Drosophila melanogaster: one gene and its partner. Changing the gene in region 2 together with the main gene of any one other region gives a genetic interaction. Each region holds a gene or a part of one and is shown on either strand. Other genes may lie near its edges.

The links.
Region 1: of Zasp66 (region 2) and Zasp67, changing one enhances a phenotype caused by changing the other (phenotypic enhancement), as found in Drosophila melanogaster (one study listed by BioGRID).

Annotation. Positions count from the first base shown.
Region 1 is NT_037436.4:9,794,557-9,799,595, forward strand, and holds the start of Zasp67 (Z band alternatively spliced PDZ-motif protein 67), read right to left. Parts: upstream 3,132-5,039; 5' UTR 2,971-3,131; coding exon 2,872-2,970; intron 207-2,871; coding exon 55-206; intron 1-54. Other genes in the region: Ilp1 (Insulin-like peptide 1), read left to right, coding at 3,878-4,342; CG32052 (uncharacterized protein), read left to right, coding at 4,615-4,690.
Region 2 is NT_037436.4:8,622,623-8,627,542, forward strand, and holds the start of Zasp66 (Z band alternatively spliced PDZ-motif protein 66), read left to right. Parts: upstream 1-1,748; 5' UTR 1,749-1,860; coding exon 1,861-2,061; intron 2,062-3,586; exon of another isoform or gene 3,587-3,771; coding exon of another isoform or gene 3,772-3,888; intron 3,889-4,338; coding exon 4,339-4,487; intron 4,488-4,804; coding exon 4,805-4,920. Other genes in the region: GAPsec (GTPase activating protein, SECIS-dependent read-through), read right to left, coding at 1-312, 455-927, 986-1,065, 1,133-1,152.

The DNA of each region.
Region 1 (5,039 bases), 1.2 Mb from region 2:
AGCAGTAAGAGAACGAAACGGAATGGTATGGAATAGAAGGATGGGAAAGCTCACCGGTAGACGCCAAAATAGAAGACGCTTCCACTGCCCATAATGAGGCGGTGGGCCTCGTCGTGGGTAAGGGGCGTGGCAGCCGTGTCATTGATGCGCACGATGATATCCTCGACCCGCAGTCCAGCCTCGTCAGCAATGCTGCCCTCGGTCACCTAACGTTGAAGCATATGGACATGTTTAGATCTAGATGGGAATGCCTAGATATCGCCCGATTCAGATGCGGATATGGGAATGTGGCGATAGAATGAGTGCGAGGCCGAGATAGTCGAGATAGCCGAGATACAATACAATGGGATGCGATGCGATAATGGGGAAATTTCTATTAGCCGACAACGGCGACGTCGCGTGCTAAGTGCATAAAAATAAAACGCGCGCCAAATGTCAACAAAACAAAGACCAGCAGACCCAGACCCCCGAACAGACAATCATACAATCACGCACAAACCCAACAGAACCGAAGACAATGCCCAAGGAGATGGGGGGGCTACAGAGGATCTGTGGGGGCTGGGGGCTCAGAACGAGGGGTGCTCGAGTAGAAGTGGCAGCTCATTAACGACACTTCAGTTAAGCGAGTCAAGTGGAATTACCCATGTCTAACCACTCAAATATTGCATTGTTTCGCCGGATGGAAATGTTTGAGTTGAAGGATGATTCTACATACGTACATATATACAAAGTTATGAGTTCACTTAAAGAGAAGATTAATTTGTAAGGATAGAGAACCAAATATTGCTGATTCCAAAAAGATAAATGTTCAAACAACTCTACCACTAATATTTAAATAGCTTGTAAAAGCTTTTTTTTACAGAAGTTCTGCAATTTTAAAGCGGGGGTAAAAAATAATGTACAACTAATGAAACTTTCTAGGTCATCCAAAGTTCACAATAGTTTTCTCTAATTACAAAATTAAATTTTTAGAAATAAAAACCCACTGGACTAATCGTTTTAATTGGATAATACAATTTATGGCTCTTTTTTTGGAAAATTGGTAAATGTATATTCCGGAAATGGTACCAAATGACCGTGTAAGAGAATATCGTTTCAAAAATTTGCATTTGCCAACATTTATTTTCGCAACTATAAATCAAAGTGAAAATGTTGCGAGAACAATAACAACTAAATACAATATAAGCTTTATGGCTTTTGTGGGTAATAAAGTACAGACAAATTGGCGCAAATTGAGCATATAAATTGTAGGAATTCATTTAAAATGGTTTTGCCACTTCGGCCTTCAAAATTGCCAGCATACGAAGTGAGAATTCATCAAACTAATAGTTATGGATGAATTATGTTTCGCCTTCAAAATGCGAAATATCTTAGCACTCTGTTCAAAGAATTCTATTGCATAATTCAGGCAGTTTTGTAACACTTTCGTGGGCAAATAAACGCGATTGTTTTCGTTTCCGTTATGAGAAAGCAGGGTTCATAACCAGAAAGTCACGACACCGACTGCCAAGAGGACTTAGTAATGCAAATACTGCAAAAAAAAAAAAGTGGTTGGCACAAGGAGCAGGTGGAGGGTTGGAGACTCCACCATTTCACCCAACCAAGTTGAGGGTCTTTCCTTTCAGTCCCAGGGGTCTCTTGCATTTCACTTATGGTAGAGTCAATTTCCAGCGGTGAATTCGCAGAGCAAAAAGCACTCGACATCGTCGGAGGTTGCGAATATTTATAGAACAAAGGCTTTGGGCTTAGCTGGGCCATACATCTATGTACCAGACTGTATGTGGCGAGCAGCATGACGAAGAGTGGTAGTGTAAACAGAGGTTTTTCAAAAGATTACCAAGGATTGTTTAGTGTTTGCAGAGCCAATATGTGAAGGTGTGTTGGCACATTCCATAAAGTAATATGGACTCGAGTCGAAGGATGTGCTTTTTGAGTCTCTAACATGTAGTAAGGAATTCTTAAAAGCGGAGTATTAGTATAAGGAATAAATTAGCTAAGTTAATTTAGGGAGTTCATTGGAATGAAGAACATTCCGGACATTTTTCAGTTTTTTCTCTATCAGCCAGCTTGTGAAGTTAATAATTCATTTACAATAAACTTCCATTTTTTCATGGTATGCATATCCCAAAGCACAAACATTTTATAAATTGATCGGAATTTAAAATAACCCATAGCATAATTTGTTTATGTAAAACGGTAAAAAAAAAATAACCAAAAAGTCAAAAACAATTTATGACCTCCCTTCCTTGACTCTGCGGCTTAAATTGATTTATTCGTATCGAAGGGATGGGATTTTTTAGCGCCCCTCGCATTTCGGTCATTTGTTTTATGCGCTTAGCAGTTTGCCAATTAAAAATCGCATTTGTTTCGGATTTACGACGATGCTATAGTATTGTATGTATTGTATTTTTGTTATTGTTGCTGGTTGCGAATTGTCAACACAATGTTACAAAATGCGAATTGCCAAATGCAATTTATGCACAAACAAAGGACCAACTGCCAGCGAAACACAATTAAAATTTGAATAAGTTTATTGCCGCTGCCATTATGCGGCTCATTAGCGGGAAATGTATGGCCCTGTCGATTAGATAAACAAAAGCGAGAGGAATTACTTTAATTAACTAATTTGCCAATGCAGCAAATCCGAATGGACACACACGCATCGCGGCGTTACGTAATATTGCAATCGAACAAATAAAACTGATTCGAACGTATCGTATCGAATTAATCCAATGTGATTCATCAGCTGCATAGTGAGCAATATTTTCCACTGGTCTATGAACATCCGCCAGGTGAATGGGCTGAGGTGATGCGTGGGGGGGTGGGGGTTGCAGCATATAGATTTCGTTCTTTTTTCGAATCGGGCCTAACCTTAACCACCGTCAGCGGATAATCGTAGTCCGCCCCGCCCACCAGGCGAAAGCCCCAGGGCACATTATCAAATCGGCACATCTTAATGTCGAGCACCATGTTTCCTTGATTTATTCCGACTTTTTTTGTTCGTTTCGATTTTTCCGTTTTCTATCGCGAATTTTCTTCCACTTTTTTTTTTGCTTTTTTTCTAGCTTTTCCGGCACTTTGCGGTCGGTGGGAAGAAGCGAGTGTTTCGAGTGCAGCGCTGGCAACCAACTGTTGGCATCGCCGTGCGTGCAACTCGACAATCGAGTGGCCATGGCGATGGCGATGATGGTGATCGAAGCGATTTCGCACACTGCCGCCGGAGGAGCTTCATCGAAGCATACTTTCCTCCTGGCCACGACATGCTAATGAGGCTGCCACACTGTCAGCCATCGGCCCACATACCCCTTATCCCCATGCCCCACAGATATCTGGTCGTAATCGTAATCGCAATCGACAGCAGTCAGAGCCTCTTAGCGGCAATGTAACAGGTTGGGCGAACGGGTTATGCTTTGAAGTGGGCGGATTTTTTGGCGGTGATTACACTGAAAACTATGCTCGATAAAGCTGTGTGCATCAATTCACACTTTAGAGCAAGTCCCATAAGGCTAACTCTTCTGAATATCTTAAAAATGTCTTACAAATACATTCCAAACTATTGGTATAGATAGATATAGGTAATGATACAACTGATATTTGCTAAGAAATACAATACAATACCCCAACTACCAAAACAACAGTGCATCGCTTTTCCATCCAAATTGGGGAGTAGAGCTAGAAATAGAGTTTGCATTTTTAGGGGAAAAACGGTACCTGAAACATGGGTGATCAAAGGATTTGCAGTTTGTACGCCCGTGGGGCTTGCTATGCCACTGCAATGCTAGACTGCAGAAGAGGCCATTGAACTGCATTAGCTAGCGCTTCCGATTTAGTGGTATAAATACCAGTTGCAGCCCAGAGCATTCACTGCATATCCAAGATGTTTAGCCAGCACAACGGTGCAGCAGTACATGGCCTTCGGCTCCAGTCGCTGCTCATCGCAGCCATGCTCACCGCTGCAATGGCAATGGTCACGCCGACTGGCAGTGGTCACCAGTTGCTGCCCCCCGGAAACCACAAACTCTGCGGCCCCGCACTGTCCGATGCCATGGATGTGGTGTGTCCCCATGGCTTTAATACGCTGCCAAGGAAACGTGAAAGCTTGCTGGGCAACAGCGACGACGACGAGGACACGGAGCAGGAGGTGCAGGATGATAGCAGCATGTGGCAGACACTGGACGGGGCAGGATACTCTTTTAGTCCACTGCTAACCAATCTGTACGGATCCGAGGTCCTGATCAAGATGCGTCGCCACAGGAGACACCTGACCGGTGGCGTCTACGACGAGTGCTGCGTCAAGACCTGCAGCTACTTGGAGTTAGCCATCTACTGTCTACCGAAATAGGACACTTGGCCAACACACACACATTCATTACCCAGCATGCATACACATACATACATACATACGAACACTTGAACATGGCATTCCCACATACATACTATATGTACACCCGTTCTCCTAACAGCATTCGTAATCCAATTCGTAATCACTTATTTATGCAGCACCAACTTTGACTAATGAATAAAAGTAGACAGTGCAAAAAGAAGAATTTGTGTGAGCGGCAAAGACAAGACAGTCAAAGGAAAAGTACCAAGGAGGCGTAATTCGTTGCCAGGATGCTGCTGGCTCCAATCAGCTGGCTCGGGTTCTTGTTGGCCTACTCCGGCCTGCCGGGCGCCCAGGCGCGGATTGGTAAGTATAGGGTAGAAATGGTAGAGGCAAACGGGCTGTAAAGGCGAGGTAACTTTAAGACCAAGGACTTATTTGGTATTCATAAATGCAGGGCTTAGTACGGCCTGGCTGTTTATACATAAATTGTTTAATTGGCTGACAGCAAAACGCCCACAAAGCCCTTCTTCTCCCAAACACAGCCACCCAAAAACCACCCACAATTTTCCAATAGCCATTTGCATAAGTCAGCTTTGACATTGAATGAGTTTAGCCAGGCGTTAGAGAGAAGAGCCAACTCCGGAATGCACTCATCGCATCCTAACACAATTTGACAACCTGACTTTTGAGGATAACATGTGTGTGGATCCAG
Region 2 (4,920 bases):
GGCCATCATGAACTTGATGCCGCCTTCTGCGTCGTCTAGTGTTTTAATAAAAAAGTCTCTTATCTCGCTCATCAGGGCGGTAAAACAAAAGAAACAATCAGCCTCAGCGTGGGCGCGATATGTGAGGTCAGGATCGGAGGCCATAACATAGTAAATGGGTCCCACGATTTCGTTCATGCCCTGGACATATCCCTGGCCGGGATTTAGTTTGGCATAGATGAACAAAATGCGTTGCACAACTTCCCAGTGAGCCTCTTGGCCCTCCTCCATGGCGGCATAGTTTTCAACGGAGCGTTTTGTAATCAAATTTATCTATATAGAGCACACATATTCATTAGGTTTGGGGCAGTTCCAGATGGGCTTACTTACTTGCTGCTAAAATCCACACGGTATGCATGAATGAAACAACACATTCTGAGCTTATTGTCTAGCACAATTCCGATCTTGAACTCACCTTTGTCATGCCGAGGCCCTTGCGTTCCACATTCGCCGAACTTAGAACGGCGGGAACCACCCGTTCGTGGAGCCTTCGTCCATGCTCTCCTTTGCTGTGGACCACAATCTCGCAGGGATAATCGGTGGGCTGCTGGAAAAAGGATATGTCCGGGCACAAGCGGCGGACATCCTTGTCGATTTGCAGTAGAAACTCGTTATCATTGAAGAACGTGTTCCACGCGCTTTCGGGTCCCTCGCTCAGCGGATGATCTTGCAGGCCAACGCCCCCCGAATCGACTTTGTCCCCATCTCCTCCGTCTACGCTAGCTCTATTGCTCGAGTGTCCGGGGGGCAGGACTAGCTCCTCGATGAACTGTTTATACAGGGCTCGCTTTTGGGCCAAGGTTGTGGTCCAACTACTGCGCCTAGGCCCCAAATAGCCAAGGAGTAGCTTCCAACTGAGTGCTCGAAAACTCTGCACATCGGGCACACCTGTGGAGTGCTCAGACTTCAAATTTTGAACATTTCAAATGCACTCTTAGCTTTCTACCATTAAATGCCAGTTTCCTGAGTTGTTTCAGGTCAATTAAATCCTGTGGCCCCGCCAAAACATCCTCAAATTCCTTGACTCTGCATTTTGGTTAGAGAAAGTCTTTGTTTACGGAGAAGTTTGGATTAGCTTAGAATAACAGCTTACCGCGCCTTGAAAATAGACATGCTGCGGCTTTATGTGGGCGGGGCTATGCTGAGATCTTGCAGTACCCCTATGTGTAATTAATTAAAGCTTTATCTCAGTTTTATGCTGGGTGAAATCTGCAGGTATAAAACACAACAAAACAATGGGCGTTGCCAGATGGTTCGAGCTCTAATCGATTATTCTCTGCGACTATCGATTTTTGAGTGCATTGGGCGGTAAAATTCAAAGTTTTTAACGATTAAATTTTATAAATAAATCGAAATTTTAAATGGTTTACTGTCCTCGTAAAAATGTATGTAATTACCTTCTGTCTTAATTGTATTGTTCTTTTTAATTAATTAATTGAAAAACTGTTTTTAAGCTGGTTGCCAGATCTTGTAAAGCTGAAGGCGCTATTGTTTAAATTGTAAATGAAAATGATTAAATCATGATTATTAGATATTGCTTGTATGTATTTTCTTTGCTCAATCAAATTTACTAACTGAAACATCAATTAATCCATTCATAATTCTCCGCGTCTCACTATTTCACTGGATTTTGAATGAATAATAATATTCTGTTTTCGCTCATTTTCTCTGATTTTTTCTCCGCTTTTATTTGATTTTTCAATTGCCTACTAGTGCACACACACACGCAGTCGCGAGCAGACGCGTTCGAATCGTAGAATTTAGCGCATATTTCTGAATGTGCGGAGCATTTCTTTTGTTTACTCTAGTCGCTGGCCAGCAATGACGACCAGCAGATCATCGGCGTCCGCGTCATTCAGTCGACCGGCTTTCTGGAAGGTGCCCGGTTACGAATTGCCCACGTCCTATCGTCCACAGCCGACCCCAAAACCGCCGCTCGTACCGCTGCCATCGCCCTGCAGGCGGCGCAGCAGCAGCGGACTGAAGAAGCGCGTCCATTTTGCCGATGAGCAAAACGTGGGGGTAAGTCCAAGTGGCCGAGAAAAGTGGAAGCCCCAACCCCTTTCAAATCGCCCGGCTTGTCAATCATCGCGCGTGTGTTCTTTTCTTATTCGTATTCCAATGTATTTGTGGCCCCAATTCACAACAGGCCGACTCAGAAATCAGTTCAATAACATTTCGCCCCTTGCGGCTCGTAAATTTGTCAAGCCAAATCTAATTAATTGGCCACTGCTGCACTTTTCGGTCAAGTAAAATGGCCCAAAAAAGATGGATGGATCTATATTTCCATTGGCATGACTTTTATACCATTCGCAAGACGTTGGGTGAAGAATTTCGAATGATTTACAATCCGCTCAAGGCTGATCTACAGCAAAAGTCACCGTAAAAACATTACACGAATTCCAATTGAAAATGAAATGAAAACAATTCAAGCCGCAAATAGTAAAAACATTTCAAGAGCCAGCCAAAAAGTGCCGAAATCAGAATGTATAAAATTAAAAATGAAATGGCAAGCCATATATTGTGTATATATTCAGCGAAAAGCCAAAAGGCAGGAAAAGATTTTTCCGCTGTAAACAGTAAAATTGTTGCCAAAATCGAGAGGCAGACAGAATGTTTAATACAAACCAACGTCCTTCAACCGTTGACCCGTTCATATTGCGTATACGTCACGTTGGCCGTAGACTTTTCCATTGACTAATGCATTAAAAATCTAATATGATTTGCTTATTTAAATTGGGCAAGAGTGTCGAATTGGTTGTTGCAGTTGTGCTAGTACCGCCTCAGTAACTAAAACTAATTACACTCTCTCTTGGTTGCCTCATCGTTCGGCAAACAAGTCGGAGAGGAATAAAACACTAATAAAATAGTCGAAAATGTCGAGGAAAAACAGATGCCTAGATACTTGATTTTTATGCTTTTTTGCATCAGGCGAGCTAGCTCATCAAAGCATTCGCCTAGATGATGATATGTGGCATTCATCTCTTCAGGGTCAGCGTGCAACTGGATCAAGTGCTGCCCTAAAATGTGGTCAACGAAATGCAGAATGCCACAAATGCAGGGCACACGTCGAATTAAACAATGGGAACAATGTGGGAAAAGGTTTGAGTTTGTGGTGGCTTGCGGATGCTCTTCGCGATTTGGGTATATATAATAATGAAAATAGTAAAGCTTTAAATACATGGCACACATGCAAGCAATCATGTTTATTAACACTGCGTATGCGTAATTTGATATGCAGCCGCTTATCAAGTATACGCCTAATTATCTTGTGGTAATTATGAGCTTTGCCGAGGTAAATGCTCCTGATGCTTTTTGAATCCACGACATCCGCTCTGAGAAATTCAGAGTGCTCTTAGCGGAAACCCCATTTAACGATTAGGATTCGCCAATCGAATTCATGTTTCTCAGCATGTAGTCGCCGTTGCCGGCGGATATAAGTTGTACATGTATGTACATATGTGTATGTAAGAAACAAACTTGTGGCGCAGTGTACTCTGCTGCCGCTGCTGTTGCTGCAAAAAGGAATACGAATTGTATTTTAAAATTAGTACTTGAGCAGCTTTGCGATCGAACAAAACGCTTAACGGATTGCAATCGCGCGCCGCCTGCGGCTCGGCCAGAAAAGGCCAGAAAAAAAAATAAACAATAAAAAATAAATATATATTTTCGGGATAAACCATCGCTGGATCGGATGAGCGTCTGATCTTCCAGTCTATCTTCAACATCAGGATGAGCCCCAAGCTGCATGAGTTTGCGGTGGTGCTACTGCGCGATGGTCAGGCCACGCCCTGGGGCATTCGTTTGGTGGGCGGCAACGATCTGGACACGCCGCTAATTATCACCAGGGTAAATGGGCGTTATATAACCAGAGAGACTGTCGCCTTGTGGTCGCTTGTGGTCCATTCATCAAAATTGAGCCAGAGAAGAAATGCCTGAGGAAAAGCGATTGGCCTTTGTGCCCCGCATGCCGCTTTGTTCTCAGCGCCCAAATAAACAACAACAAATCAAAATAGCGAAACGGGCACAGCAACAATAAACGCTGCAGCGTTGCCAAAATGCGACGCCAGTAAAACTAATTGAGGCGCAACCGAATAGTCGAAGAAAATTTCCACTTTTCCTACCTACCCCCTTTTCACTGAGCTGCGATGTAAACACACACATTTTGGCGATCATAATTCTGTCTGCATCTATTTAGGCACCCATAAATCTGTGTCAAGGTTGCAACCAGCCCGTTGCACCCTATACTATGTGTGTCTAATGACCTTCCCACCTCCTTTTCCACCCCACCCGTTGCAGGTGCAAGTGGGCAGCCCAGCGCATGGCGAACTTCTAAGAGGCGACATCATCTCGAAGATCGGCGAGTACGACGCACGCGACCTGAGTCATGCGGATGCACAGCAGCTGTTCCGCGGCGCTGGCAACGAGATCCGCCTGGTGGTGCACAGGTGAGCCAGGAAATCCGTGTATCTGCATCAAAGATACCAATCAGTTCCGTATGTTTAACATCAATTTCTTCTACGAGTGTCAAGTGTATTGAGTAAAGAGAACACCTTCATTTTAGTTTTCTGTTTTTTAAACAGGGCTTTTATCATCATAAAAGTTAGTTGATTATAGTCATAGTATAAAAAACTTAACTTAAGTTTTACTCCATTGCCAAAAGGAAACCTTCGTCTTGGATCAATTTGCACTAAGAAACGTTAGGAACTGATTTTTCTTTTGTATGGTCTGTGATATGACAAATATTAATAATTCTAAATTGCAGGGACAACAAAATCGCCTACACGCAGGGTGCAACTCAGGAGGCAGGTCCTGGATCTCGGAGCAACTCCACTTTGCCGCCGGTCACTCCGGATCTGATGCCCCACCGCGGTCCGTCGC